3 linked regions of the Anolis sagrei genome follow. The protein of the gene in region 1 interacts with the protein of each later gene in a biochemical or structural test. Links are inferred from orthologs where the notes say so. Each region holds a gene or a part of one and is shown in the gene's direction. Other genes may lie near its edges. The genes, in order: caspase recruitment domain-containing protein 11-like, BCL10 and PRKCQ.

Region 1 (10,672 bases):
CATGGGCCATCCAGTCCAACCCCATTCTGCCAAGAAGCAGGAATATTGCATTCAAATCACTCCTGACAGATGGCCATCCAGCCTCATTGATCAGTGACCTTCCCGCAAGCTCCTTACCCATGCCGGTTATTTGCACAAGGAGGAATTATGCAAAGTAGTAAACATAAACAAAATAAATTATGCAAATATTTAGTAGGAAATCAGGGGTAAAATAAGCTTCCTCTTTTGCCGGGTTATGGAACAGATCTTTTTTTAGCACAGAATTTGGATTTAATTTTCTGTAACATTTGCATGTACAGAATTTTGCAGAATTGTTGGTTTTACGAGTGAATAAACATATACAGCTTCCCAGTATGCGCATGACCCTATGACCCTATATATGCACATCATTCAGAGCCTTGTTAGTTTTATGTGTATGAGTTTCGAAGCCATTAACACAGTTTTTATGGGCACCGATATGTGCAAATAATTTCCCATTGCCCTGCATGGGCCTTTTCTCCTTCCGACAACTTCAAAATGGGGCGGTATAATGTATTTTATTTGGATACGATACATAATCTGCTAGATTGTCCGTTACATTGTCTGCAGTAAGGGAAAATACCTGAAGCAAAGCCGCTCAGAATTGGGAGTCACCCACCCAGAGCAGGAAGGATGAAGTGAGATATTTGCTGCCTGGTATGGTTACATGGGCCAGGTTTAATACGGCGAGATTTGTGGTAAGAACTGCTCAACTTAGGCAGATGCTTGCGGTGCAATTGTTGACGGAAGGATTTTTCTCCGATTCCGTGGATTGAGCGTGCTTGATCTGTTTGGCTCTGACTGCTTTTCCCTTTTTGCCTTTGGGGCTATAACCTGCATTTGTTTGCCAAATAAACAGGATTGATTGAAACTAAAGCTCTGTGTGACCATGATCTTCTAATTCTCTAGCATCTGGCATTAACAGGAATTCATGCAAAACATCTCTGCAAGGCAAAATAGAGAGGGTGGTTGAATAAGGAAGAAAAACCAGGTGAACTTCCACATCTGTACAATAATAGTAATTAGGGTTGTGTATTCAGGGTAAACCTTGACCTGTTTTGTATCCTGGCTTTCAGTGGAGGTTCTGATCCATTTTTTGGGAGCCTCTAGAACAGTGTTTCTCAACCTGGGGGTTGGGACCCTTGGAGGGGTCGGGAGAGGGTGTCAGAGGGGTCACCAAAGACCACCAGAAAACACAGTATTTTCTACAACTCCCAAAGGTCAAGGTCTATTTTCCCCAAACTCCACCAGTGTTTACATTTGGGCATATTGAGAATTCGTGCCAAGTTTGGTCCAGATCTATCATTGTTTGAGTCCACAGTGCTCTCTGGATGTAGATGAACTACAACTCCCAAAACTCAAGGTCAGTGCTCACCAAACCCTTGCAGTATTTTCTGTTGGTTATGGGAGTTCTGTGTGCCAAGTTTGATTCAATTCCATCGTTGGAGGAGTTCAGAATGCTCTTTGATTGTAGGTGAACTATAAATCCCAGCAACTACAACTCCCACAGGACAAAATCAATACCCTTCCCCAATCCCACCAGTATCCAAATCTGGGTGTATTGGGTATATGTGCCAAATTTGGTCCAGTATATGAAAATAAATCCTGTATATCAGATATTTGCATTACTATTCATAACAACAGCAAAATGACAGTTATGAAGTAGCAACAAAACTAATTTTATGGTTGGGGTCACCATAACATGAGAAGCGTATTAAGGGGTAATGGCATTAGGAAGGTTGAGAACCACTGCTCTAGAAATTGGGTGGGCAGATATCTGTTTTCACTCTGGGGTCCAAAAGATCTGTTTTATATCAGCACATTATGGGGGGGGGGGGAGCTTCCCATAATGGGGAAGGGGGCTTCCCAGGCTCCCTTTCCTGTCATATTAGGCATTTAAGCTCTACTCTAGAGGAGAGGAAAGGCACTTAGATGCCGGTAGGCGTTTGCTTTGAGGCTTCTTACTTGTTTCTTACTCTAGCGGAGGTGCTCGGCTGCAGGCACCTCCATACTTTCTGGGCCTGCATGCCACACACACTTTCCAAGGCAAGGAGGCAAGTTTACTCTAGAAGAGTCACTCGGTTGCAGACAGACACACACACACTATCTGGGCCTGCACACCACACACATTTTCCAAGGCAAGGGGGCAAGTTTACTCCAGAAGAGTCACTCGGTTGCAGACAGACACACACACTTTCTGTGCCAGCACACCACACACATTTTCCAAGGCAAGGGGGCAAGTTTACTCCAGAGGAGGCGCTCGGTTGCAGACACACACACTCACACTTTCTGGACCTGCACACCACACACATTTTCCAAGGCAAGGAGGCAAGTTTACTCCAGAGGAGGCGCTCGGTTGCAGACACACACACACACACTTTCTGGACCTGCACACCACACACATTTTCCAAGGCAAGGAGGCAAGTTTACTCCAGAGGAGGCACTCGGTTGCAGACATGCACACACACACTTTCTGGACCTGCACACCACACACATTTTCCAAGGCAAGGAGGCAAGTTTACTCCAGAGGAGGCGCTCAGTTGCAGACATGCATACACACACCTTCTGGGCCTGCACACCACACACATTTTCCAAGGTAAGGAGGCAAGTTTACTTCAGAGGAGGCGCTCGGTTACAGACACACACACACACACACTTTCTGGGCCTGCACACCACACACACTTTCCAAGGCAAGGAGGCAAGTGTACTCCAGAGGAGTCACTCGGTTGCAGACACACACACACACTTTCTGGGCCTGCACACCACACACACTTTCCAAGGCAAGGAGGCAAGTGTACTCCAGAGGAGTCACTCGGTTGCAGACACACACACACACTTTCTGGGCCTGCACACCACACACATTTTCCAAGGCAAGGAGGCAAGTTTACTCCAGAGGAGGTGCTTGGTTGCAGACACACACACACACTTTCTGAGTGTGCACACCACACACATTTTCCAAGGCTAAAACCATTATAAAAGATGACATGTTATGTAACGACCAGCAGGCTGAGGTGAGTTCTAGTCTCTAAACAAGGTTTAACATTTCTAGGCAAGAATATAAGTTGGGTATTTTAGTCTTCCCCCTCTCCATACGTCACAATACATAGGTGGGTTTTCAGCAGTTTTTTGAAAGCAAAGAGAGGGGGAGCAGTTTTAAATTCTTTTGGGAGGGAGTTCCAGAGGCAGGGAGCAATCATGGAGAAGGCCCCGTCTCTCGTTCCCACCAGCTGTGCTTGAGATGGGGGTGGGAATGAGAGTAGGGCCTACTCCATGGATCGCACGGCGTGGGCCAGTTTGCATACAGAGATGCAATTGTCATGATGTAATGATAGAATCAATTAAGAATTGACATCTACAACCCAGTAATAAAAATTGTATTGCACAGTGTAATAGCTTTTCCCATCTATAATGTGGAATATGTATGTTATGTGATGGTTGGTGCCAATGCCTGTTAGGGCTACAACTCCCAGAGCCTCAGTGGCCATGCTGGCTGGGACATCCTGGGAACCAAAGTCCAAAAAGTAACATTCTGGGTGATAGTGATTTTCTCCCTCAAATAAAGGACCTTTTCCAAGCTCTGGCTTTTGAAACAGATGTAATAAATTCACTGTGCAGAATTGATAATGTGAATGTAATATGATGTGTGGGAATGAATGGAAGAATGGAAGATGAATGTATGGATGGAGCTAATAATTTTGGAAACACCAGCATAATATTAAGGCCTGCAGTGACTATACCTGCTGACCTGGACTGTAATTAAAAGTTGCTAATGAGAACTTCAAAGTAAACTCTGATAAAGACTGTGACAACGGTTCTTTCAAGTTAAGGAAATGTTTGCAACATTCCTTATGTTAAGAAGGAAGTCAACACAAGCCTTGTGTTTGTTAACACCAATCAAGAAGATCAACATCTGGCCAGGAAACTGAGATGGAGCCAGGATGGAAGAAGTATATCATTAATTAACAAGTTTGGGATTACATCAACAGAATATTCCTGTAAAAGACTCAGTCTAATAATGTTCAAAGTGTGGCAGACCTGAGGAGTCTGTTCCACCCGCCTCTCTGGTCCATGGGAAGGAGAAAGATGGTGTATTTGGAGAGTGGCAGGTTTGCAAGGGAGCAGTCTGGTCACTTTGGCCTTCTTTCTCAAGGGAAGAGGAAGAAGTGCACTTTTGGAGTCTTGGATTTTGTGCGGGGAGTCAGGTTCTGTTGTATGGAAAACAGAGATCTGGTCCTTGGCATTGTTCTTAGGGAAAGAAGTTTTGGCATTTCGGCAATTTGAAGTTTTGCCGTTATGGAACTGTGCATTGACAGGCTCAGGAAAGCAGGGTCTGGACCAACAGGTGCTTCTCCCAGGAGGGCAAATGTTTGGGTGCATGAGGATGAATGCATGTACATGTGTGTGAATGTTGAGTGAAAATGTAATTCTCCTTTGTTTGTTTGTAATTGTAAATCCAATGTAGTTGCATAGAATCTGTATGTCTGTATGTTCAATGTCATACTTTATCTAGAAGTTTTTCTGTAATCTGATGTATCCTCTCACACTGGAAATGGCAATAAAAAGAACCAATGCTTTAAAGCAGTGTTTCTCAACCTGGGGGTCGGGACCCCTGAGGGGGTCGCGAAGGGGTGTCAGAGGGGTCGCCAAAGACCATCAGAAAACACAGTATTTTCTGATGGGTCATAGGGATTCCATGTTGGAAGTTTGAGCCTATTCTATCGTTGGTGAAGTTCAGAACATTCTTTGATTGTAGTGAACTATAAATCCCAGCAACTACAACTCCCAAAAGTCAAGGTCTATTTCTCCCAAAGTCCACTAGTGTTCTATGTCTATTTTCCCCAGGTTCCACCAGTGTTAACATTTGCGCATATTGAGTATTTGTGCCAAGTTTGGCCCAGATCCACCATTGCGTGAGTCCACAGTGCTCTCTGGATATAGGTGAACTACAACTCCCAAACTCAAGGTCAATGCCCACCAAACCCTTCAAGTGTTTTCCGTTGGTCATGGGAGTTCTGTGTGGCAAATTAGGTTCAAATCCATTGCTGGTGGAGTTCAGAATACTCTTTGATTATAGGTGAACTATAAATCCCAGACACTACAACTCCCAAATTACAAAATCAATCCTCCCTCAACTCCACTAGCATTTACACGTGGGTGCATTGGGTATTTGTGCCCAGTTTGGTCCAGTGAATGAAAATACATCTTGCATATCTGATATTTACATTATGATTTATAAAAATAGTTAAATGAGTGTTATGAAGTAGCAACAAAAACAATGTTATGGTTGGGGGTCACCACAACATGAGGGACTGTATTAAGGGGTCACGGGATTAGGAAGGTTGAGAACCACTGCTTTAAAGTCATTGAAAAGTCATTCATGACACAGATAGGACTTCCTCTTCATCTCTGATGGTTGTTTTCCTTTCTCTTCATCCATTCTAGGAAGCGAGCTGACTTTCCATCTCCTGGAGAAAGCTTCTGTTTTGGTTGTCCGCCATGGTGAAGAGCCTTACAGAAAGCCACTCTCAGCCGCTGAGCCGAAAAGCGAAAGGGAAGTGAAGCAGGCCGTGGAGGCCTCTTTCCTGCTAAATATAGGCTTGAGGTTGAAAAAGGGCAGCGTTGAGTGAGTGGGTGCTTCCGGACACATGTTTGCGGGAGCTGTGTTTTGAAGGGGTGCAAACGAAAGCAAAGAAAATGAGGAAATCCACCGCGCTGCTGTGTCAGGTGCTGGCTTGAAGAACATCAAAATCAGAGTCTTCTTCTCCTTGCATTGCCACAGACCACAGATAAGCGTCTCTGCTTCTCAAGAGGTTCTGAGGTAGGCCCATAAGTTCATTCTTTATGAATTTCAGGAACGTCAGAAAGGGAGTTCAGCTGTCCCAGCTCCCGTCACTCACCCGTTTCTCGTTTTCTTATAACGTTCTTCTCTCTAGGTTCTTGAAGGTTTTTTCAGGCTATAGGGCCATGTTCTAGAGGCATTTCTCCTGACGTTTCGCCTGCATCTATGGCAAGCATCCTCAGAGATAGTGAGGTCTGTTCTTCTCTCTCTTTCTGTCTCTCTCTTGAAGATTCTGCAGTAGCTTGCCTTGGTTTGAACAGAAAGACAGAAAGTCCCTCATTCAAATACTTTTTTAGGAGAGCAACTGCAGTCCTAACTTCCCTCAATGCTACTCTTGGTGGAGCTGGAAACTGTGCAGAACCTCAGCTTCATGGGGTGGGGTGTCTTCTTGGTCCAAAGAACTGTGCCCTTTGCTCATTTTTGGGCTTCAGCTTCCAGCACTCTTCCATATTGGTTATACTACTACAGCAGATGAAAGCCAAAGTCCAATACTTTGAGGAACTGAGAGATTAAAGCAACTCAGACTGAATCTCCACTGTCATATAATATATTTTGAACTGCACTATATGTGACCTCATCCCACCAGTGCTGGGAAAGCAGAGGGAACTATCTTACCCCGTTTCCTCCCAACTTTCCCCATCTTCTGGAATGATTAGCCATCCCACATCCTTTCCACATCAAGGTCCGTCTTTCCCCCGCTTTCTGTTGCTTTCTCCTGTATGGAGAACTACAAGAGAGGAGATTCCATCTGAACATGAGGAAGAACTTCCTGACTGTGAGAGCCATTCAGCAGTGGAACTCTCTGCCCCGGAGTGTGGTGGAGGCTCCTTCTTTGGAAGCTTTTAAACAGAGGCTGGATGGCCATCTGTCAGGGGTGATTTGAATGCAATATTCCTGCTTCTTGGCAGAATGGGGTTGGACTGGATGGCCCATGAGGTCTCTTCCAACTCTTTGATTCTATGATTCTATGAGTGAGATAACACCAACTCCTTTTATTTATTTGTCGTGTCAGGGCAACCAGTCAATTATATTACATTTCTAACAGAACAAAGCAAACAAACAGGCAAAATACAAAATTTGTGAGTTTGGTAGTTGATTAAATGTCCTTTGACCAGTAGCTGGCCACTTGGAGTGCTTCTGGTGTTGTGCAAGGAGGTCCTCCATTGTGCATGTGGCAGGGCTCAGGGCGCATTGCAGCAGGTGGTCAGTGGTTTGCTCTTCTTCGCACTCGCATGTCGTGGATTCCACTTTGTAGCCCCATTTCTTGAGGTTGGCTCTGCATCTCGTGGTGCCAGAGCGCAGTCTGTTCAGCGCCTTCCAAGTCGCCCAGTCTTCTGTGTGCCCAGGGGGGAGTCTCTCATTTGGTATCAGCCATTGGTTGAGGTTCTGGGTTTGAGCCTGCCACTTTTGGACTCTCACTTGCTGAGGTGTTCCAGCGAGTGTCTCTGTAGATCTTAGAAAACTATTTCTAGATTTAAGTCGTTGACATGCTGGCTGATACCCAAACAAGGGATGAGCTGGAGATGCCTCTGCCTTGGTCCTTTCACTATTGGCTGCTACTTCCCGGCGGATGTCAGGTGGTGCAATACCGGCGAAGCAGTGTAATTTCTCCAGTGGTGTAGGGCGCAGACACTCCGTGATAATGTGGCATGTCTCATTAAGAGCCACATCCACTGTTTTAGTGTGGTGAGATGTGTTCCACACTGGGAATGCGTACTCAGCAGCAGAGTAGCATAGCGCTTCAGTATGTCTGGTTGTGATCCCCAGGTTGTGCCAGTCAGCTTTCATATGATATTGTTTCTAGCGCCCACTTTTTGCTTGATGTTCAGGCAGTGCTTCTTGTAGGTCAGAGCATGGTCCAGAGTGACTCCCAGGTATTTGGGTGTGCTGCAATGCTCCAGTGGGATTCCTTCCCAGGTGATCATCCTCAGAGCTCGGGATGCTTCTCTGTTCTTGAGATGAAAGGCACATGTCTGTGTTTTAGATGGATTAGGGATCAGCTGGTTTTCCCTGTAATAGGCAGTAAGAGCACCTAGAGCAGTGTTTCTCAACCTGGGGGTCGGGACCCGGGGGGGGTCACGAGGGGGTATCAGAGGGGACCCCAAAGACCGTCAGAATATACAATATTTTCTGTTGGTCATGGGGGTTTTGTGTGGGAAGTTTGACCCAATTCTATCATTGGTGGAGTTCAGAATGATCTTTGATTTTAGGTGAACTATAAATCCCAACAACTACAACTCCCAAATGTGAAGGTCTATTTTCCCCAAACTCCATCAGAGTTCACATTCGGGCATTTTGGATATTTGTGCCAAGTTTGGTCCAGATCCATCATTGTTTGAGTCCACAGTGCTCTCTGGATGTAGGTGAACTACAACTCCAAAACTCAAGGTCAATGCCCACCAAGCCGTTCTAGCATTTTCTGTTGGTCTTGGGAGTTCTTTATGGCCAGGTCTGATTCAATTCCTTCCTTGGTGTTCAGAATGCTCTTTGATTGTATGCAAACTATAAATCCTAGCAACTACAACTCCCAAATGATAACATCAGTCTCCCCCAACCCCACCAGTATTCAAATTTGGGCGTATCGGGTATTTGTGCCAAATTTGGTCCGGTGAATGAAAATCCATCCTGCATATCAGATATTTACATTACGATTCATAACAGTAGCGAAACTACAATTATGAAGTAGCAACAAAAATAATGTTATGGTTGGGGGTCACCACAACATAAGAAACTGTATTAAGGGGTCGTGGCATTAGGAAGGTTGAGAACCACTGACCTAGAGGTTCGGAGAGCTTCTGTTCTACCATCTCAAAGCTCCCTGCTTGAGCGGTAATGGCACGATCATCAGCATAGATGAAACTCTCTGTCCCTTCTGGCAGTGGCTGGTCACTCCTGAAGATGGATTTAGGGGTCTGTTTCCATGTGTTTTGGAAACAGAGCTCCACAGAGTCCCATCAGAAGTGCCCTTACGTCATGTGATGGCCTCTGTGGGATTCTGTTTCCAAAGCGCATGGAAACTTAGCCCTAAACCCATGGGATGAAGTCCATGCCCAGTGTAGACCAGGCATGAGCAAACTTCAGCCCTCCAGGTGTTTTGGATTCCAACTCCCACAATTCCTAACAGCTGGTAGGAAAACTGCGGGAAAACATGCAGGTCAAGATTAGGGCTCCATAATCACCTACCCTGGAGGATTATCCTACTCGGGCAACGAGGGATCGCCTAAGTAAGTAAGTACCACCAGAGTCCTGCCCATAACATTGTCTGGGAACATCAACCACAGCATCACTCAAACCCATTACTGCTCAAGCATGGAGCTTTGAGTTGGTAGAACAGAAGCTTTCCGAAGCTCTAGGTGCTCTTACTGCCTATTACAGGGAAAACCAGCTGATCCCCAACCCATCTAAAACACAGACATGTGCCTTTCATCTCAAGAACAGAGAAGCATCCCAAGCTCTGAGGATTATTACCTGGGAAGGAATCCCACTGGAGCATTGCAGCGCACCCAAATACCTCGGAGTCACTCTGGACCGTGCACTGACCTACAAGAAGCACTGCCTGAACATCAAGCAAAAAGTGGGTGCTAGAAACAATATCATACGAAAGCTGACTGGCACAACCTGGGGGTCACAACCAGACACAGTGAAGACATCTGCCCTTGCGCTGTGCTACTCTGCTGCTGAGTCTGCATGCCCAGTGTGGAACACATCTCACCACACTAAAACAGTGGATGTGGCTCTTAATGAGACATGCCGCATTATCACGGAGTGTCTGCGCCCTACACCACTGGAGAAATTACACTGCTTAGCCAGTATTGCACCACCTGACATCCGCTGGGAAGTAGCAGCCAATAGTGAAAGGACCAAGGCAGAGACATCTCCAGCTCATCCCCTGTTTGGGTATCAGCCAGCACGCCAACGACTTAAATCTAGACATAGTTTTCTAAGATCTACAGAGACACTCGCTGGAACACCTCAGCAAGCGAGAGTCCAAAAGTGGCAGGCCCAAACCCAGCACCTCAACCAATGGCTGATACCCAATGAGAGGCTCCCTCCTGGGCACACAGAAGACTGGGCGACTTGGAAGGCACTGAACAGACTGCGCTCTGGCACCACGAGATGCAGAGCCAACCTTCAGAAATGGGGCTACAAAGTGGAATCCTCAGCATGCGAGTGCGGAGAAGAGCAAACCACTGACCACCTGTTGCAATGCAACCTGAGCCCTGCCACATGCACCATGGAGGACCTTCTTGCAGCAACACCGGAAGCACTCCAAGTGGCCAGATACTGGTCAAAGGACATTTAGCCAACTACCAAACTCACAAGAGATATTGACAAGCTGGAATGTGTCCAGAGGAGGGCGACTAAAATGATCAAGGGTCTGGAGAACAAGCCCTATGAGGAACGGCTTAGGGAACTGGGCATGTTTAGCCTGAAGAAGAGAAGGCTGAGAGGAGACATGATAGCCATGTATAAATATGTGAGAGGAAGCCACAGGGAGGAGGGAGCAAGCTTGTTTTCTGCTTCCTTGGAGACTAGGACGCGGAACAATGGCTTCAAACTACAAGAGAGGAGATTCCATCTGAACATTAGGAAGAACTTCCTGACTGTGAGAGCCGTTCAGCAGTGGAACTCTCTGCCCCGGAATGTGGTGGAGGCTCCTTCTTTGGAAGCTTTTAAGCAGAGGCTGGATGTCCATCTGTCAGGGGTGATTTGAATGCAATATTCCTGCTTCTTGGCAGGGGGTTGGACTGGATGGCCCATGAGGTCTCTTCCAACTCTTTGATTCTATGATTCTATGAAAAAAGGTTTTTCTTG
Region 2 (11,195 bases), on another chromosome or scaffold:
GTTGGTGCTCATCTCTATTTCTAAGCTGAAGAGTCGGTGTTTTCCTCCAAGGTTATGTGGCCGGCATGACTGAATGGAGCGCTGTTACTTTCCTGCAGAAACAGTATCTATTGATCTATTCACACTTGCATGTTTTCAAACTGTTAGGTTGGCAGAAGCTGGGGCTAACAGCGGGAGCTCACCTCTCTCCACGGATTTGAACCACCAACCTTTCAGTTACCAAATTCAGCAGCTCAGTGGTTTAACTAGCTGAACCACTAGGGACCCCTTGTCCTTTTAGGGGTGCCCTTTATTACCTCCTCGCCAAAATCGGTACCTATTTTATCTACTCGCATTTCTGCTTTCGACCTGCTAGGTGGAGAGGTGAGCTGGGGCTAACAGTGGGTGCTCACCCCACCCGGGCTTGAACTGCTGACCTTCTGATCGGCAGGATTTTTCTGCCGCAAAGCAGTTTAGCCTGCTGTGCTAAGCTCGGCCCCTGTATTATTTTAATCTAGAATAGCTGGTGTCATAGAATATGAAAGTTTGTTTTTCCTTTGGACATGGAAAATCAATACTATCCCCTAGCTTGTAGAAAGAATATTGTCATTATCCTGTGCTTATAAATGCAGAAGGATGAGACCATACTGCACCTACACAACGTCTATAAAGTAAAGCTGGGTTTGAAATTCTGGGCACCACAGTTGAAGAGAGATATTGACAAACTGGAATGTCCAGAGGAGAGTGACTAAAATGATCAAGGGTCTGGAGAACAAGCCCTATGAGGAGCAGCTTAAAGAGCTGGACATGTTTAGCCTGAAGAAGAGAAGGCTGGGGGGAAGTCATAGGGAGGAGGGAGCAAGCTTGTTTTCTGCTGCCCTGGAGACTAGGACGCGGAACAATGGCTTCAAACTACAAGAAAGGAGATTCCATCTGAACATTAGGAATAACTTCCTGACAGTGAGAGCTGTTCAACAGTGGAACTCTCTGCCCCAGAGTGTGGTAGAGGCTCCTTCTTTGGAAGATTTTAAACAGAGGTTGGATAGCCATCTGTCGGGTGCTTTGAATGCAATTTTCCTGCTTCTTAGCAGGGGGTTGGACTGGATGGCCCATGAGGTCTCTTCCAACTCTATGATTCTATGACTAAAAATGAAAATGAAGTATTTGCTCCTTGTCTCTATAACAGAACTTTTTCAGTGCACCAATTTTTTTTCACTTTCCAAATATCTTCAGATATTTTCTCACAAGAAACTCATTGTCTTCAGAAATAGGATCTGCCACCTCTCTGTATCTGTTTTCCTGCACAGCAGAAAAGAAAAGTGCTACTGAGAAAGGGCTTTTTACGGTTCCCTGGTATCACAAAACGCGTGATATTCCCACTGTCTGCTCTCTTGAAATGAAATCATTGCAATAGCCTCTCTAAACAATTTCAGATTGGGGTGATTATGCTTCTACTGCTCAGAAATGGATGTGGCATTTCTCTCTCTTTCTTGTAGAAGATGAATTTCAAACTGGCAGGTACAATTCTGCAATGGACTTTCATTGCTGGAATGACAAAATAGAATAGGATAAGGTGAATGTAATCCTGGCTCCTAAATATAGTCCTCTGTAAACCGCCAAAATTGGATAAGATAGGTCTCAATCCTTTTTTCCCTCCCAGATCTAGTTTGGGGCAGCACAAAAGGCAGCAGAAGGGAAGAAGGTCTCCTGAAATCGCCGGTGATACACTGTGTTTACGTCTTTTGAATCCAGTATGTCTGGCAATACAAAGGCACAGCAAACATTCAAACCTGTTCCTCAGAAATGATAGAAAAAAATGACAACAGTTTTGCTTTATTTTGGAAATGCAACTTGAGATACATGTGCCTGCCTGGTGGGGGAAGTAAATAAGTAGACCTCAGGTTTCCACGACTGTCCATCATGTACTGCAACTCAGACTGATCTTCCTTCCAGATCTAAAGTGCTTCTACATTGTACAAATAATGTAATTTGTGTTGGGATTATTCTCCTCTTTCTCTAAGCGAGGAAAGCAAGCTGAGTCTCTAAGGCTTCATCAGCACTGCCATATAAAATCCAGATTATCTGCCTTAACAGTGTAGACTCATATAATCAAGTTCAAAGCAGGTAATTTGGATTATCTGATTTGATAATCTGGATTAGATGGCAGTGTAGAAGGGACCTTACTCTCAGCAAGTTCTCCAACGCAGATCTCTCAAATGTTCATCAACTATCAGCAACGACGCCAATGCACCAACAACACAAACCAACCAAACAACATGTTAGCTGTATTGTTGAAGGCTTTCATGGCCAGAATCACTGGGTTGTTGTAGGTTTTTTCGAGCTATATGGCCATGTTCTAGAGGCATTCTCTCCTGATGTTTCGCCTGCATCTATGGCAAGCATCCTCAGAGGTAGGAGTTGAGGGGTGACTACCTCTGAGGATGCTTGCCATAGATACAGGCGAAACGTCAGGAGAGAATGCCTTTAGAACATGGCCATATAGCCCGAAAAAACCTACAACAACCTAACATGTTTGCTATTCTATTTTTATACAAGACCCAGCTAGTCACTTATGGTATCGCATCATCCCTGGCACATTGCCATTACCTCACACTTGCCTTGTCATCCTGATCTAGAAATTAGCTATCTGTATATGCTGTCACATTGGCTTTCCACTAAATCCTGACAGCTTGACATCACTTTAACTGCCATGACTCAATGCTATGAAACCCTGGAATTCTGGTGTTACAAGGTCTTTAGCTTTCTCTGCCAAGGAGTGCTTGTGCCTCACCAAACTACAATTCCCAGGATTCTATAGCATTGAACCATGGCAGTTAAAGTGAAGTCAAAATGCATTAATTCTATAGCGTAGATTCACCTGTAGATTGAAGCCCCATCTACACTCTGATTATAATTTAGCCAGAAACTGGTCAGAATCATAAAATGGAGTTTGAACCACATCGAACTGCAATATGCACAGTAAGTCTACACTGGCCATATAATGCAGTTTCAAACTGCATTGTATGGCAGTATAGACAGGGCCTGAGAAATCTTGAGAGTCCTGGTGTCTCTTCCTCCTTTTTTTGCACTTCTTCGAGAAAAGCCATTGTGACTTTGTTCTTGAGAGGGTGAGGCTAAGCCCTGCTCCCTGGATCACCATCTTAATTTGGAACTTCGTTTTCTATAATCAGAAAATAATTTCCTTACAATAAATGTTGGGTCTCTTGCTTTCCTAAGTGATGAATCTTCAGCATAATTGCATTCCAAAAGTAAAAGGTGCTTTTCCAAGGTCATCATATTTTTTGTTGTTCATTCGTTCAGTTGCTTCCGACTCTTCGTGACCTCATGGACCAGCCCATGCCAGAGCTCCCTGTCGGTCATCACCACCCCCAGCTCCTTCAAGGTCAAGCCAGTCACTTCAAGGTCCTAATATTATAGAGGACTAAATTACTTGAGGACTACTACAAAGAAGTGAACAAAAAGAGAGTTGCTTATTACTGTTTCATTTCACTTGATGTGCCTGCTTTGCATCATCCACTTGGAGATTCCAGTCCCTGTATGAAGGAAGTTGTATGACATGATCGGTAGTTTGAGCAATGCTAATTCAGATCCCATGTCCCTGTATAGACAATTACAGCCACTGATCATTCAGATCTCTTCTGTGTCTTTGATCACTGTTGGCTCTGGATGCTGTGAGATCTGCGTGGGCATGCTCAAAGCTTTTTGAAAAGAAATGTAATCTAAACATCTTAAGTGCTGTAAAGGACCATCTGTGCTTCCCCCTTCTCATTCAAGAAGGAAGAGGAAGATAAATGGCCCTGGGACATAGGATGAATCACAAGAATTTAATCATACCAGTTTTTTGGAATTTTCCCAGGAATATTTCTTTTAAAAGCTGGATGTTTCCAAGATTTCCAGCTCACCGAACTAATAGCGTGTCAGGTTCCCTGTTGACTTATGGTGATCTCTTGAACTACATAGGATTTTCTTAGGCAAGAAAGGCTCAGGGCCCTTTCACACAGCTCTATATCCCAGAATATCAAGGCAGAAAATCCCACAATATACTGGAAGCCAAACCAAATCATTACTGTCCTTCTCCTTTCTTATAGGTGGCCTTAGGTTCCTCCTCTTCATCTTCAGGTAAGAAGTTGACCTTGTTTGCGTTTCTGGGAGCCTTGTCACCATTATCTTCATATATATTGGACCATTTGATCGCCATATCCAGCTCCGGAGGCGGCTTGGTTTCTCTGACGCTATAACTCTCAGGGTGAGGCACGACACTGGTAGTCCAGGCTTTGAACTCCTTAGGAGGCTGTCGAGGTAAAAGGATAAGGTTAAAACATGCCATCTACAAGGACAAGAACAAAGCAGATGCAAAAATCATGAGATATAATTTAAAAAAATATTGAACTCACTTCATATTACTGAAAAGACACATGGTCTTGTTTGATCTGAGAAAAGTCATTAGTGACCTTTCTAGGGCCCTTCCACACAACCCTATATATCCCAGGACATCAAGGCAGAAAATCCCACAATGTCTGCTTTGAACTGGGTTATCTGAGTCCACAGATAATGTGGGATTTCCTGCCTTGATATTCTGGGATATAGGGCTGGGTGGAAGGGCCCTTAGAGGTGGTTTGTGCAGTTCCTCCCTCTGAATTATAGCTTACGTATCTGTTCTTTTGTTGGCAGCCTCCCATCCAAGAACAAACCAGAGCTAATCTTGCTTAGCTTCCATTGCATGATGTAACAAAATTTGAAAAAAAAATCTGTTCTTGATTTGAAAGTGTTATTTCCTGTTTAATTATTTGATCTTTTCTTTGAAAATAGTTGTTATACTCCAGAAACTTCGTTTTTGTGGCTGCCACAAATTATGTTGACTCTATGAGCTATTCATTGAAAAACTATAGCAAAATGTGCTGTAGGATGTCTTGCAAAAACAGATTTTTAGCAGTTTAACAAACTTTTCTCGTGTTTTTAATGATAAAACCAATTAGGAAATGACATTTGTAACCCAGGAATCAAAATCGAATGACATAATATAATCAGAAACATGTTCATGCCTTTTGGGTATTTAGGTTAGGAAAATAATAGTAAGGCCCCTTCTACACTGCCATATCATCCAGAATGCTTGCTTTGAATTGGATTATAAGGCAGTGTAGACTCAGGCCCCTTCCACACAGCTGCATAAATCCCACATTATCTGCTTTGAATTGGATTATATGGCAGTGTGGACCCAGATAACCCAGTTCAAAGCAGATATTGTGGAGTGTCTGCCTTGATATTCTGGGTTATATGGCTGTGTGGAAGAGCCCTCATATAATCTTTGATAATTTGGATTACATGGCAGTGTAGAAGGGGTCTAAGTGAAAAAGTTACAATTTGTTCTGTTCTCTAGCTTTTAAGCCTAGGGATATATAAATAGTTTGAATGAGGAATCAACTCACTCCAGAATTAGGGCCCTTCCACACAGCTGAATAAAATCCCACACTGTCTGCTTTCAAGTGGAATATATGGCAGTGGGGACCCAGGGCCCTTCCACACAGCCATATAACCCAGAATATCAAGGCAAATAATCCACACTATCTGCTTTGAACTGGATTATCTGAGTCCACACAGCCATATAATCCAGTTCAATGTGGATTTTATACAGCTGCGTGGAAGGGGCCTCAGGTAACCCAGTTCAAAGCAGATATTGTGAGATTTTATTCAGATGTGTGGAAGGGCCTTCATATTCTAGGTTATCTGGGTGTGTAGAAGGGCCCTAAGTCTCCATTCTCACCGAGTTATCTCTGCTGAAAAGATCTCGAGATAAATACATATTTCAAATCAATGTTTAGGGTTATTTGGGTGCAACCTGGCCAGGGCAAGCGAGCATCTCTTCCTTAGGAGTAGAGCCCCATGAGCTTTGGACTTCAGCTCCCAGAATTCCCGGCACTCAGTCGCGCTCACTGAGGCTTCTGGGAGTTGAAGTCAAAAACCTGGCGGAACCAAGGTTGGGCGCCGCTGTTGCCGGGAGGGGGCGTGGCGCGGAAGCACAGGAGGTGTGGCCTCGCGAGGCACGGCGCCGGAAGTCCTGGTGGCACTCCGGGAGAGTCCGGCTTCGGCCCGGCCTTGGGTGCTCTCCTCTCAGGCTCCCTGGCTGCTTCCGGTCCTGGCCTTTCCCGGCTGGCTTGGCCCTCGAAGGCGCGCTGGGCGTTCTCCGCCATGGCGGGCTCCGCGGGGGCGCTGCCGGAGAGGCCTCTCACCGACGACGAGATGGCGGAGGTGAAGAAGGAAGTAAGTGGGCAAACGAGGGAAACTAGGACTGCAGCTACACTGCCATACAGTCCGGATTATCTGCTTTGAACGGGGTTATAGGAACCTCCACTGTCATATAAGGCCGTTCAACGCAGATCACCTGGATTTTATATGGCAGCGAAGAAGGCTTGGTGACAAGGCATTGGCCCCTTCTACACTGTCATATAAAATCCGGATTATCTGCTTTAAACCGGATTATATTGCAGTGTGGACTCGGCGCCCTTCTCCACTGCCATGTAGTCCACATTATCTGCTTTGAACTGGATTATATGAATCCACACTGACATATAATCCGGTTCAACGCAGACAATATGGATTTTATATTAATTTAATATATTTAATTAATATATATTAATTTAATAGCGGATTAATTTAGTGTAATTAGATGATAATGTATTAGGGATATGTTGTTTTTTGTAGTTGTAGTTTATTGTGAAATGTGTTTTTATATGTTGTACGCCGCCGCGAGTCGCCCTAGGGCTGAGAGCGGCGGTTAACAAATGCAGCAAATAAATAAATAAATAAATAAATATGGCAGTGTAGAAGGGGGCTAGGTGACAAGGCATTGGCCCCTTCAACACTGCCATATGAAATCGAGATTTAAACTCAATTATATCGCAGTGTAGACTCAGCCCCCTTTTCCACTATCATATAATCCACATTCTCTACTTTGAACTGGATTATAGGATGCCCCTTCTCACACTGCCATATAGTAAACATTACCAAAGCAGGTAATCCACAAAATTTGCTTTGCTCTGGATTATCTGAGTCTACGCTGCCATATAATCCAGTTCAGAGCGAATCATCTGGATTTTATATGTCAGCGTAGAAGGGGACTCAAACAATACAGACAGCATGTAGTTTCAAATGTATTTAAATATTTGTTGTTAGTCGCCTGGAGACCCTGTATTGAGAGAAAGGTGGGACAAAAATAGAGTATGTAAATAAATATATATATAAGCAGGCTTCTACAATTGGACTTTTGTATCCACATATTCTGCACCCATTAATTACATCTCCCACAGTTCAAAAGTATTTGTCAATCTATATCATAGAATAATAATAATAAACAACTTTATTTGTACCCCGCTACCATCTCCCCAAGGGACTCAGTGCGGCTTACATGAGGCCGAGCCCACCATACATCAATACAAGCAAAACAACCACAATACAAAGCAATTAAAATAAATCATAGAGTTGGAATAGACCTCATGGGCCATCCAGTCCAACCTCCTGCCAAGAAGGAAAATCGCATTCAAAGCACCCCTGACAAATAATAATAATAATAATAATAATAATAATAACTTTATTTGTACCCCGCTACCATCTCCCCAAGGGACTCAGTGCGGCTTACATGAGGCCAAGTCCACAATACATCAATAAAACAATACAATACAATTCATATAAATACATAAAAAATAGACAATAAACAATCAACAGTGACATACAAGCATTTGTATGTCACAAATCCCACCAGCCTCTGCTTAAAAGCCTCCAAAGAAGGAACCTCCACCACAAATTAGGGACTTTCATATAGATGTTGTCAATCTATATAAGGGACACCATTTTATTATACATGTTATATATAGTGGGCTTGAGTCCTCAAACTGCAGCAGATAAAAAGAGCTCACTGTACTGGAAGTGAACATAATGGGTGGAGGGAGGGGACTGTGAGCAGGAAACCTCACCCATTGGCCACTTCACTGATGGTTTTCAGCAAAATAGCATTGAATTTTCATTTTAGCCACTAGCATTGACAACAGTTAGTCTCTAGAGTTGGAGAGCAACATAGTCATTTGGAGAATGAGGTTGCTATTTGGTAAACCAAGTGGTAGTAAAACTCAAAAGCCATGTCTGGATTGCTGCCTACACTTAGCTCCCTTAACAGTGAACACAAGCTAAGAGCCCTTCCACACAGCCCTATATCTCAGAATATCGAGGCAGGAAATTCCACATTATCTGAGTGTGGACTCAGATAATCCATTTCAAAGCAGATATTGTGGGATTTTCCGCCTTAATATTTTGTGGTATAGGGCTGTGTGGAAGGGCCCAGAATCTACACTGCCATATGATTCAGTTCAAATCAGATAATCTGGATGCAGAAACTGGATTATATGGCATTGTAGATGAGGCCACAGTCACCACACCTAGCAGCAATAGCCTCTGGAAATCACAGACAAGGAAGGGAAACCTTCATTCAGAATCAAGGAAAATCCTTGGCGTGAGGTTTGCTAGTGATGTAGAACAGCACGAAAAGAGGAAGGAAGGTCAATCAAATGGCATGCGTTCTGCCCCAGTTTGCAAATTTTTTATGTAGGAGTCTCTCCTGGAGTGTTTAGAGGAATTCCCCTCTTTTGTAGCCGATCTTGATACACGCATGAGTCAACGGAGGTAACTCTTTCCTTCTTGCACTTTGTCCAGGTTTGTTTTTTCCTGTTCTAAACTCCAATGGTTGAAGGGTAATAAAGTTAATGCTACAACTTTTCTGAGAAATTTCCTACATTCAATGATGTGATGATATTCAGACTATCTCTTTATGGCTCAGTAAACGGAGTGGTCTTATTATCACTTAAAAGCCAATATAAGTACAGGCAGACCTCAAATTACCAACATCCGACTTAAGAACAAGGGTGAGACAACAGAAAGTGAGAGAAATCTGCTCATAGGAAGGGAAATTCACTCATGAAAAATTATGGGGAGAAGGGGTCTCCACTGCAGCTTTCTCACCAATCCTTGTTTCCACACAAAGCCATTTTTTTTTCAAAATCCAATGATCACAGGGGCAGAAAGTGAAATGAAATCTTCTGAACAGGGGCACAGATAGCAAAACAACCAAATTAGTTTAACTTTAATCCATTTTAAATGTGTAAGTTTCACGATCTTGGAGCGATTGAGCAGTGTAGCTTTGCACACAAACACAGGCTTTTTTCTATAATTATTGCAATTAATTTGTGTGATGCTTTTCCACACAGATGCATCCAAAGCAGCTCTCCACACAGGAACACAACCACATATCAATTGCATCACGTATATGTATATGTATATGTGTGCGTGTATATAGTGAGAGAGAGAGTGTATACACTCTGTGTGTGTTTATAGATACATATATACAACAACTTCATTTTGGAATATTATAGTTTTATGTGAAGGGAAGAGCTTAAAATTATTTCAAAGTGATTTGTTTACTCAAGTTCAGTGTACTGTTTGGAGAACTGTTGTGCACCTTCAAGTTGTTTCTGACATATGTCAACCTTAAGGTGAACTTACTATGTGGTGTTTTTTTGTTGCAAGATTTGTTCAGGGGAGGTTTACTCTATTAGCCTAAGACAGTGGTTCTCAACCTGTGGGTCCTCAAATGTTTTGGTTTATAACTCCCAGAAATCCCAGCCAGTTTACCAGCTGTTATGATTTCTGGAAGTTGAAGGCCAAAACATCTGGGGATCCACAGGTTGAGAACCACTGGGCTAAGAGAATGTGACTTGTCAATGGTCAACCTATGGGTTTCCATAACAGAGAGAGAATTTGAACCCTAGTATCCAGAGCCATAGTCCAGTGCTGAAACCTCTCTCTACACCGTGCTGGGTCTCCTTCTGGAGAATACCTCCTTGCATTCTTCTAGTGAAGGCTTGTTCTGTGCAATTTTTCCTTCAACACATAAGGTAACAGTGACTTCATTGAAAATCCATTTTGCTGTGATGCTGCACTTATAAAATATTTTCCAAAGAGAAGCTCATCAGACAGACTTGGAAAAGTTGTAGAAAAATCACAAGACATTTCTGTTCCTTAAGATTGATAGTGTATGGCTGTAATTCTTGATCCTTTGGCTGTTGTAATCCAATAGATTTTTTATTGAATTCTTCTGGTTTATCAAATCTTAAAATGACTAGAACTCATTTTGAATGGTAATTGAAGAAAGTCAATTAATTTGTGGGGCCTTTTTTTTGCCCAACTTCACATGGGTTAGAAATTATTTTATTTCGATACATGAAAGGCTTCAAACCAAGATTTACAGTTATTAATGCACATGTTTTCAGTTCATCTGAGAAAAGCTTGTACTGACGGGATCCCCTGGCTTGTAAATGGCATGATTCACCCTTAGAGACCCAGGGAGTTCCTCATAACTAGAATTTAGCCCACTTAATAAAAATGTCTCCTGGATTCAAGTTTTATTGATGACAAAGCTAGGCACTGGTTAGTAGTGTTTGCCACCTAGTGACTGAAAATGATTTTGTATGGTTCAAACTCTGCCATATTTAAATTGGCTTGTTTAGATTCCCTTGGTATACACGTCAAGTTTACATTGCTATGTTTCCTGACTTTGGAGCAGGTACTTTGAATTTTTAGCACTGAAGGTCATTGGGTTCCTGGCAATACCAAAGATATGTTGCATACCTGTAGCCTCACTCTAAACTTGCTTGAACAAGTTGTTTATTTGCCAATGAGACAATAGTGAGCATGTCAAGCAAATACTAAGGACACGTAATCACTAGCAAGCCATAACCTTTATCGAGGATTATGATGAAAAAAGAAATTATATCACAAGTTGTTTAGTATGTCTTTGGTTGAATGGATGTTTAAAGGGATGGTTTACCAGCCTCTATTATCGTTTGCATAAGTATCTTACCTATTTTATATTTTCTGTTTCTTTGTCATATAATGGTCATACAACAAGGGTGCTTTAGTAGCTTGATCATGCTTTTTTTTAGCTTCTATGTATTTACTCCAGGGAATAGCTGAATTAAGCAAGAAAATGCATAAAAGTATAGAATTGCTGCAAAAGAGACAAAACTTCACTTCCTGAGCATACACTGTAACATGAGACAAGGCATGTTTCCTGTGAATACCTAATAGTCTTAACATTTGTAATCTATAATAACATTTAAAATTAAAGTATGCAAGTGGAATGCATTCTAAAG
Region 3 (10,922 bases), on another chromosome or scaffold:
GTGGTTGTTTTGGCCTCAGGTGCCCAAATTGCTCAGACAGCTTTGGGTTCAACACACCTTAAACTGAGAAGGCAGGCAAGCATTTTCTATTTCACCTCTTTTTCATGCCTCAGTCCCACCTTGGGTTACAGGAATAGTGAAATTCCACCAATTTCTCAGGTTTGTTTAATGATTTTTGAACTTTATCTCCAAAGGCTGTAGTTTAAGGAGGATATAAGTTGAACATCTCTTATCAAAAAAGCTTGGGACTGGAAGTGTTCCATATTTCAGATTTTATTAGTATTTTGTTCATATGTAAAGCAATATCTGGAATTCCAAAATTGTCCACATGGATGGTTGAGATTCTGACACCTTTGATTTCTGATGATTCAATGTACACAAACTATTTCGTGCACAAAGTTATTTAAAATGTTGTGCATAAAATTGCTTTGGTCTATATGTATAAGATGTATATGACACATAAATGAAATTGGAGTTTAGATCTGGGTTCTGCTTCAAAATCCCCCAAAAATCCAAACTCCAAAACACTTCTGTCCCCAAGCATTTTGGATAAGGTATACTCAACCGGAATTTATTTTGGTCTCTCTCTTTCCAGAAAATATTCAGAGGATGCTCATAACTGGAAGCTCTAAACTGTATCTTACTTTTACTTGCACATAATATAACAATGCTTAAGGGCATTACAAAAAATAGTGAGTTGGAGTTACAAGAAGGGAAGTTTTCAACTGAACTTTTGGAGAAGCTTCCTAATAAGAGGCTTGTTCATTGTGCCCATTATACTAAGGGATGACAGGATCTCCTTCATCAAAGTTCTTCTCAAAGAGAAGAGATCTTCTTTCGTCAGGTTTGAATCTTCATAAGCAAACAATACATCCTTATTGTATTGTTGAAGGTTTTCATGGCTAGAATCACTGGGTTGTTGTAGATTTTTCGGGCTGTATGGGCATGTTCTAGAAGCATTCTCTCCTGATGTTTCGCCTACATCTATGGCAGGCATTCTCAGAGGTTGTAAGGTATATTGGAAACTAAACAGACAACTAAATCTTGTCTGTTGGAGGCAAGTGTTAGTGTTGTAATTAATCACCTTGATTAGCATTTATTTATTTATTTACATCGTTTTTATCCTGCCCATTTCAGCCCAAAGGCGACTCAGGGAGGCATACAGAACCGACACACACACACACACACACATATATACATACATCTCTCAATTAAAAGCAATTAAATTATATCATAAATACATATAAAAATCATAGAAGCAATCTAATGGCCTTGCAGTTCAAGGCCTGGCTGCTTCCTGCCTGGGAGAATCCTTTGTTGGGAGTTGTTAGCTGGCCTTGATTGTTTCAAGTCTGGAATTCCCTTGTTTTCAGAGTCTTACTCTTTATTTACTGTCCTGATTTTGGAGGTTTTTTTAAAAAAAACGGTAGCCAGATTTTGTTCATTTTCATGGTTTCCTCCTTTCTGTTGAAATTGTCTACATGTTTGTGGATTTCAGTGGCTTCTCTGTGTATTCTGGCATAATGAAACTGCTTTAATTATGCAGTGCAGATGCATCCTAGGTGTTACTCTCATTGGAGTCGATGCAGAGATGTGCATCACACTGCACTGTTTTAATAATAATAATAATAATAATAATAATAATAATAATAATAATAAGTTTAGGACAGGAGTACCCCCAAACTATTCCAGTTTAGGACAGGAGTACCCCCAAACTATTCCAAACCATTCAATTTCCCTAGGATTCAATGTGGCTTTTCCATTTAGCATTCTGCTCTTGGTTTATTGCATCATTTCTTGGAGATGGGTTTCCACCTTGTATAGTTGGGACCATGACAAAGAAGCCAGATCGCCATTCTATCACAGTTCCCTTCGCCCTTCATATTTCACAAACAAAAACGGTATCAAACATTCACGCTCTGGTTTTGGCATTTCTTCTTGTTTCATTGAAACAGTTCGATTTCCTGAAACATCACACACAGGCGGGCGAGCTTCCTGCCCCAACCACAGGCGTATTTGTACTCACTCCAATGTTGTGTTCACAACTATCGGCACAGGCAGATGCGCTGGTGGGTTGAAGAGGAAGAGGTGCCTCTCATCCCCAAAGTCCAACCATCCCACATCAACATGAACATAATGGCAAAAGTTATTAATGAGGAAGAGCAAACTAGCTAGGAGATGTTGAAGTGGCTTGCTTTTGCCTGAGCCTACTGGGAAGGGTGGGCTTAATTTTAGTACATTTGGTTATTTCACAGATTTGATTAATATGGTCTCTGAGGGAATCTCTCGGTCTTCCTGTGCAATTCTTTATTGAACGCCTGCTGGAAGTTTCAAGCTACATTATATGACAGTGTAGATCCAGCACCAAAAAACCCAAGGAAAGTGAGATCCTAAAGCTCAAGAAAACAAGGTGGGTTTTTAAAATAGGATTTAGGGAGGGTTGTTGTAGGTTTTTTGAGCTATATGGCCATGTTCCAGAAACATTATCTCCTGATGTTTTGCCTGCATCTATGGCAGGCATCCTCAGAGATTGTGAGGTCTGTTGGGAACTAGGAAAATTGGGTTTATATATCTGTGGAATAATATCCAGGGTGGGAGAAAGAACTCTTGTCCATTGGAGTTAGGTGTGAATGTTTCAATTGGCCACTTGATTAACATTTGATGGCCGGACAGTTTTTAGGTGTAGCTTGTTCGTGCCTAGGAGAATCCTTTGTTGAGAGGTGATTAGCTGTCCCTGATTGTTTCTTGTCTGGAGTTCCCTTGTGTTTGAGTGTTGTTCTTTATTTGCTTTTATAATTTTAGGAAGGGTTTTCTTAAAGGATTTAGGGAAACGTCTCCTGATGTTTCACCTGCATCTATGGCAGGCATCCTCGGACCTCACAACCTCTGAAGATGCCTGCCATAGATGCAGGCAAAACGTCGGGAGAGAATGCTTCTGGAACATAGCCATACAGCCCAGAAAACTCACAGCAAACGAGAGAAGAAAGTGTTTGAGCCCAGTTGCATCCAAAATTCAGCAGACTGGAGTCTTGATCAAGAGAGGAAAAGTTATTATTATTATTATTATTATTATTATTATTATTATTATTATTATAATAAACACAACAAGATGAATCCACAGCAGGCAATATCACTCTGCTGACTGTTGTATTGGATCACACGTCGGACACTTCCCAAGTGTCTAGTACTGTGTGATGTATCAGTGAATAATGCGTGCAGATCCCAGTAAGGTGGCCTTCTGCAGCTGGCAGATGGTAATTTTGTCAGTGCCGATTGTGTTTAAGTGCAGGCCAAGGTCTTTAAGCTCTGTACCCAGTGTGCTATCACCACTGGGACCACCTTTATTGGCTTGTTTCAAAGTCTTTGAAGTTCGATCTTTGAATCCTCATATCATGTCAGCTTTTCCAATTATTATTATTATTATTATTATAGCATCACCATCATCATTATTATTGAGCTTAAGACAGATTTGGATTCTTAAATAGATATAGTAATATAATATACACAAAGGAGGGTAATTTGCAATGGCTTCTTTCCTCACATATAAAGGAAGGCTATAGAAATACTACACATTACAATCACTAGAGGCTGGATCTACACTGCCATATCATTCAGTTGGAACATCTCAGTGGTGGATCCATCTAATGCAGTGATATGAATCCAACCTAACCATATAATATATATTTCCAGCCAGAGATCATCCCTGGGGCGGGGAAGGTCTGAGTGTATTATTTACATCTCCTTGGAGTGTATTTACAATGCGTAATGAAGGCAGTTTGACACCGCGACCTCTGAGGATGCCTGCCATAGATGCAGGCGAAACGTCACGAGGGAATGCTTCTGGAACATGGCCATACAGCCCGGAAAACTTACAGCAACCCAGATTTAGGGAGGGTTTTTTGGTCCACGTCCCCATAATCCCCAACTCTGCATGGTTGGGGAATTCTGGTTTTTGTTAGTAGTCCCAAAAGAGAACTTCCTCCACATTCTGTTCTGTTTTCACAAGGAAGCAGCCCATGAAAGAGGCTTCAGTTTCACTTTGCACGCCTACAACAAGTGGAGAAGCCTGAGCCGTGATCTGTCTTGTATTTTTAAGAGAGGGTTTCTGTAAGTGAAACCTAGCCAATGAGTCACAGGCCATTTCAGGAGAGTTGAAGCGAGCAGCACCAAATGCTAATGGGGCAATGTGAGAATCCTCCTCCTGTGCAACCGGACACTTTCCATCCTAGCAGAGGCTGTTTTGTAATTAGAGGACAAACAGTTTGCTTTCTGGATGGATGGCACTTGCAGGTGGAAAGCGCTGGCAGGAGTAGCCTTTAAGTTCTGGAAAAAGAGGTGACGTGGAAATGTTAGTAGCCTGTCTGGCATAAGATGCATTTACATCAGGCATGGGCAAACTTTGGCCCTCCAAGTGTTTTGGACTTCAACTCCTGCAATTCCTAACTCCACCAATGATGGAATTGAACCAAACTTGGCATACAGAACTGCCATGACCAACAGAAAATACTGGAAGATTTTGGTGGGCATTGACCTTGAATTTGGGAGTTGTAGTTCACCTACATCCAGAGAGCATGGTGGACCAAACTTGGCACAAATCCTCAATGTGCTGTCACACACTGGGCCTGTGCATTAGACTGTAGACAGGACATAAATTCTGTGTGCCCAACGGGACGCCGGGGCTGCCTCAGATTAAAGGACCTTAGATTCCCCCAAAACAAAGTTCTGTAGAGGCTTAAAGTAAATCCAACAAAGTTCTTTATTGATGAAAACAAACAGGTACTTTAAAGCATTCTTAACAGTCTATTGGCTCTGCAATCTTGGCTGTATAACTCCAGTCAGGCTGTAGGCTGTATATCTCCCCGGATAAGCCGTAGAAGATGAAGCTTTCCACAGGAGTTCTTCGTTTTATGTCCTGTGCGAAAGCTTCTCTGTGAGAACTGACTCAAAAGGGCTCCTATTCCCTCCAAAAACCCAAAATGGGGTGGGACCAGGGAACCTAACTATAATAGACAGGTGGCAGCCTATAACAGGAAGCCACCCTGCTGCAAAATCCCAAGGCTGGGATTGCAAACAAACATTTAATGCAAAGCAAACAGAATTGGAGCTCCTGGTAGAGCTGTACCAGCACACTCAATATGCTCAAATGTGAATACTGGTGGAGCTTGAGGAAAACAGACATTGACATTTGGGAATTGTAGTTGCTGGGATTTATAGTTCACCTTCAATCAAAGAGCATTCTGAACCCCACCAACAAGAGAATTGAACCCCCATAACCAACAGAAAATACTGTGTTTTCTAATGGTCTTTGATGACCCTTCTGACACCCTCTCCCGATCACCCCAGGGGTCCCGACCCCCAGGTTGAGAAACACTGCTCTAGATGGAGAATATATTTTGGTTCATTAGGGGGACTTGAGTCTCACTCAGCCTGCTTAGGTCCTGCCCTGGGAGAAAGGCATCCTATAAATCCAATAAATAAATGATGAAAGAACTCATGTCCAAAATAAATAAGTGAAAAGTTGGTCATGCTGCTTTAAAAGTGTTTCATTTCTGATCTTGCTGCTCTCATTCATTTCGTAGTTGGTTGCAGAAAAACGTTGCGAGTGCTTAAAGTGCTGTAGCGTTCTGCTCTTTTCTGTTGCACCAACCTGACCTGCCTCTGTATAAATCATTTTGGTGCCTCTGCAAAGGATTCAAAGGCTGGCCATTCTTTTGTTACTGTGCCATCTTATTTTCTGCTACAGAGGGGCGATTTCCCAAAGGCTCTGTCAGCTTCATTTCCCTCCTGTATATAAATAGCGCATTTAACACTTGACAGCATCATGTTGAACCGTGCAGTCTACCAAGCAGTCACTTTGCAGTGTCATTTGGCAAAAGGCATGGGATCTGTCTGTTTCCCTGGCGATGGCCAGCGGCAACTTGTGACTTTGCATTAACCCTTGCAAGGGTCAATGAGCACATACTCTCCTTTTTTTTCTCTTCAGCATCCAATATGTAATTTTGAACTTTTTTGTAGAGCTATTTCTGCACAGGATTTTTTTTTTTTTTTTTTTTTTGCATGGACAAAATCAATCGGCTGTTATTCCTGGCCATTGCCTGGTGACCAACATTGGAGCCTCCGGCAATGCAGCTGAGCAGACAACGGATCGAGCGGCGGTCTTGTGCTATGCCTGGTTGCGTGGCAAACTTTTGCTAACTCAGCCAACTGGGGATCAGAGAAAGGGAAATGCTGTTGGGATGGATAAGGGGCATTTGGATTAAATGCCTCGGCTTGGCATGAGCGATAAAGTCAGCAAGGCAAAGGCGGCTTTGAAAATCTATCCCATCCATGTCTGCTTTCTGGCCCATGCAGTGCCCACCATGTCGCCCTTTCTCCGGATCGGCCTCTCCAACTTTGACAGCGGTCCCTACCTGCCTTCCCAAGGAGATGTGGTTGATCCATACTGCGCCGTGATGGTCAAAGAAGCCACAGAGGGTGGTAAGCATGTGTGGTTATATTCAGGCAAGGCTGGGTGTTGTGTGGGCTCTTCCATCAGATGTAACCCAATGTATGCATCCAAAGTTATTGTCGATAACTATTATAAGTTGATTTCCATTTATTGTGGCCCTCTGAATGAAGGATTTTAATGCAACCTTATTTTTTCATGTCAGAAGCAACTTGAGAAACTGCAAGTTGCTTCTGGTGTGAGAGAATCGGCCATCTGCAAGGACGTTGCCCAGGGGACGCCTAGATGATTGATGTTTTACCTGTCATGATGCCAAGGCTCTGCCTGTACCCAGGTAGAGATTAATCAAACAAACATCCAGTTTGTATCAAACAGTTTAATTAAAACAGCACTTACTTTCTGGCTGGTTTAATAGTCCAAAATATAAAACATAAAGATAGAACTCAGCCACAGAATATAAAACAAAAACTGATAGCAAATGCTAAACCGTAGTCAATTGGTCCAGTCCAGTGGTCAAATGCCGAGAGTTCAATGAGCAAAGTCCAGGGATCAAGAATCTATACCATAGTCCAAAGCCAGTCAAGAGATTCAAAGTTCTAGGGTTCCAAGAGTTCAGGAGACAGGTCAGAATACTAAAAATCCAAAGACCTGGGGGCAAACCAGCAGCATCTACCACCAAAATAAGACAAACAGCTCCTTAAATACAGTAACACCCAGCTGCAACCTATGCCTTGCATGCCTCCACTCTTAATTGCTTTTACCTGTAAAGTGTTACTTACAAATTACTCAGCCCTTAAGAACTAAGATTTACATTAATCCTATCACCAACTGCAAGGTCGGCCACCACCAACCACCATCAACTGCGGGACATGATAACATGACATTACCATCCTGTGGGAGGCTTCTCTCATGACCCCGTATGGGTAGCTGGAGCTGACAAAGGGAGCTTACCCCACTTACCACCAACCTGTCGGTCAAATAGTCCTGCCAACATAGGGGTTTAACCCATTGTCCCACCGGGGGCTTCATACGCAAGCCTATGAATGAGAGTAACTCCATTCTCGACGGCCTTGCTCAGATCATACAAACTCAGGGAGGTAGCTTCCCTGATTGAAAACTCTATTGTATAGAGCAGGGGTCCTCAAACGAAGACCCGGAGGCCAAATATGGCCCTCCAAGGTCGTTTACCCGGTCCTCGCTCAGGGTCAACCTAAGTCTGAAACCACTTGAAAGCACACAACAACAACAACAACAACAACAACAACAACAATACTATCTCATCAGCCAAAAGCTGGTTCACACTTCCCATTGAAATACTAATTTCAATGGGAAATTCTTCATTTAAATTATGGAATTGTTTTTAAGTGTTTTTTGCACTAGAAATAAGATATGTGCAATATGTATAGCAATTCATTCTTCTTCTTTTTTTTCAAATTATAATCCGGCCCTCCAACAGTTTGAGGGACTGTGACCTGGCCCTTTGTTTAAAAAGTTTGGCGACCCCTATGCAAACTGGCATAGAAGCAGGACGGTCATTTTTGGTGGCTGTCCCTTTGGTACAATACTATGAGATATCCACTGCTGGTCCATCACCTGCCTGCAACAAAGCCCTTTCCAGCTATTAATGAGCAAAACTCATCAATAGCTTATTTATTTATTGTGTCATCCGCAACTAGACATTTGTATTACATTTTTAACAAAAACAAACAAACAAATAGACAAAACACAGAATTTGCAAGCTTGGTAGTTGATTAAATGTCCTTTGACCAGTATCTGGCCACTTGGAGTGCCTCTGGTGTTGCCGCAGGAAGGTCCTCCATTGTGCATGTAGCAGGGCTCAGGTTGCATGGCAGCAGGTGGTCAGTGGTTTGCTCTTCTCCACACTCGCATGTTGTGGATTCCACTTTGTAGACCCATTTCTTAAGGTTGGCTCTGCATCTTGCGGTGCCAGAGCACAGTCTGTTCAGCGCCTTCCAAGTCGCCCAGTTTTCTGTGTGCCCAGGGGGGAGTCTCTCATTTGGTATCAGCCATTGATTGAGGTTCTGGGTTTGAGCCTGCCACTTTTGGACTCTCGCTTGCTGGGGTGTTCCAGCGAGTGTCTCTGTAGATCTTAGAAAACTATTTCTTGATTTAAGTCATTGACGTGCTGGCTGATACCCAAACAGGGGATGAGCTGGAGATGTCACTGCCATGGTCCTTTCACTATTGGCTGCTACTTCCCGGCGGATATCAGGTGGTGCGATACCGGCTAGACAGTGTAATTTCTCCAGTGGTGTAGGGCGCAGACACCCCATGATAATGTGGCATGTCTCATTAAGAGCCACATGCACTGTTTTAGCGTGGTGAGATGTGTTCCACACTGGGTATGCATACTCAGCAGCAGAGTAGCATAGCACAAGGGCAGATGTCTTCACTGTGCCTGGTTGTGATCCCCAGGTTGTGCCAGGCAGCTTTCGTATGATATTTTTTCTAGCACCCACTTTTTGCTTGATGTTCAGGCAGTGCTTCTTGCAGGTAAAAGCACGGTCCAGAGTGACTCCCAGGTATTTGGTGTGCAGTAATAATCAATAATCTGAGGATTGTGCTATGTTATCACAACCTGCCTGGCATTTCTATGGTGGCATACCAGTGACATCAGGAGGCAGGATTGTCCTCTTCTCGCACTCTCAGTTCACAATTAAAGGAAGGATTTTTCTTTTCTTGTTAAATTTTTTTACTTTACGGAATTGGAAAGTGTCTCAGAAAGCCTTTCCATTTAGCACTCTGGTCTTGTGGTATGCCACAAGAAAAGTGACATACCAGTAATGCAGTTATTACTCTCACCCGGCCACTGGAACTCACACCGCTGGCACACTCCATTACACTATGCTAACGGTGGTACGAAAATGATGGTACCAATGCTAGGAAGTTAAACATGAGCCAACAATGTGATGTGGCGGCAAAAAAAGCCAATGGGATTTTGGCCTGCATCAATAGGAGCATAGTGTCTAGATCTAGGGAAGTAACGCTACCCCTCTATTCCGCTTTGGTTAGACCACACCTGGAATATTGTGTCCAATTCTGGGCACCACAATTCAAGACAGATATTGACAAGCTGGAATGTGTCCAGAGGAGGGCGACTAAAATGATCAAGGGTCTGGAGAACAAGCCCTATGAGGAGTGGCTTAAGGAGCTGGGCATGTTTAGCCTGAAGAAGAGAAGGCTGAGAGGGGATATGATAGCCAGTATAAATATGTGAGAGGAAGCCACAGGGAGGAGGGAGCAAGCTTGTTTTTTGCTTCCCTGGAGACTAGGACGCGGAACAATGGCTTCGAACTACAAGAAAGGAGATTCCATCTGAACATGAGGAAGAACTTCCTGACTGTGAGAGCCGTTCAGCAGTGGAACTCTCTGCCCCGGAGTGTGGTGGAGGCTCCTTCTTTGGAAGCTTTTAAACAGAGGCTGGATGGCCATCTGTCAGGGGTGATTTGAATGCAATATTCCTGCTTCTTGGCAGAATGGGGTTGGACTGGATGGCCCATGAGTTCTCTTCCAACTCTTTGATTCTATGATTCTATGATTGTAAGTTGCCGCTAATCCTAATCATGTGAATGGTGTGTGATATTTTGAGTCTTGTTTTCTGGAATGCCATCTCCCTCTTTTCCAGTAACCACCTGGGGACGCCCTGCTCTCGCTTCCACCTTATTCTCAAGCACGGGTGGTAGAGACGAGAGATAGGGCCTTCTCAGTGGTGGCCCCTCAGCTGTGTAAACCCCTCCCTAGCAATATCAGGGCAGCTCCCACCCTCCTAGTGTTCAGAAGGAGAGTCAAAACTTGGCTCTGGGAGGAGGCTTTTAAAAAATAGAGCAATGCATAAAGGTTAATATGAAAAATGTGCAATATAACTATGGAATGGCCTTGGACTCTGACTCTGGATGACGCGATTCATTGAAATGTATTTTAATTATGTTAATTATGTTTCTAAATTCAAACCATGTTTTTAGTTCAATATTGTATGTTGTGAGCCACCTTGAGTCCCTCTCAGGGTAGAGAAAGGCAGGTAAATAATAATAGTAGTAACCCATTTTCCTAATTCCAACAGACCTCACTACCTCTGAGGATGCTTGCCATAGATGCAGGCAAAACGTCAGGAGAGAATGCTTCTAGAATATGGCCATATAGCCCGAAAAAACCTACAACAACCCAATAATAATAACATTTTACCCTTCCAAGAGGAGCCCCAGTGGAGCAGTGGGTTAAACCCTTGTGCTGGCAGGACTGAAGACTGACAGGCCAGAGGTTCAAATCAGGGGAGAGCACAGATGAGCTCCCTTTGTCAGCTCCAGCTCTTCCTTATTTGTTTATTTACTTATTTATTTACTATACTTGTATACTGCCTTTCTCAGCCTATCAGCAACTCAAGGTATTTATTTATTTATTTATTTATTTATCGTGTCATCAGCAACCATTGTATTACAATTCTAACAGAGCAAAACAA

Evidence for each region.
Region 2: the proteins of caspase recruitment domain-containing protein 11-like (region 1) and BCL10 form a complex in vitro, tested with the Homo sapiens proteins (2 studies listed by BioGRID, with this or other methods). The link is inferred for Anolis sagrei from reciprocal best matches to the Homo sapiens genes CARD11 and BCL10.
Region 3: of the proteins of caspase recruitment domain-containing protein 11-like (region 1) and PRKCQ, one has a biochemical effect on the other in vitro, tested with the Homo sapiens proteins (2 studies listed by BioGRID). The link is inferred for Anolis sagrei from reciprocal best matches to the Homo sapiens genes CARD11 and PRKCQ.

Annotation. Positions count from the first base shown.
Region 1 is NC_090034.1:7,868,794-7,879,465, forward strand, and holds the start of caspase recruitment domain-containing protein 11-like, read left to right. Parts: upstream 1-5,755; 5' UTR 5,756-5,836; intron 5,837-10,672. UniProt on the Homo sapiens protein: Adapter protein that plays a key role in adaptive immune response by transducing the activation of NF-kappa-B downstream of T-cell receptor (TCR) and B-cell receptor (BCR) engagement.
Region 2 is NC_090024.1:154,599,594-154,610,788, forward strand, and holds the start of BCL10 (B-cell lymphoma/leukemia 10), read left to right. Parts: upstream 1-6,027; 5' UTR 6,028-6,186; coding exon 6,187-6,258; intron 6,259-11,195. UniProt on the Homo sapiens protein: Plays a key role in both adaptive and innate immune signaling by bridging CARD domain-containing proteins to immune activation.
Region 3 is NC_090025.1:189,797,621-189,808,542, forward strand, and holds the start of PRKCQ (protein kinase C theta type), read left to right. Parts: upstream 1-6,039; 5' UTR 6,040-6,260; coding exon 6,261-6,477; intron 6,478-10,922. UniProt on the Homo sapiens protein: Calcium-independent, phospholipid- and diacylglycerol (DAG)-dependent serine/threonine-protein kinase that mediates non-redundant functions in T-cell receptor (TCR) signaling, including T-cells activation, proliferation, differentiation and survival, by mediating activation of multiple transcription factors such as NF-kappa-B, JUN, NFATC1 and NFATC2.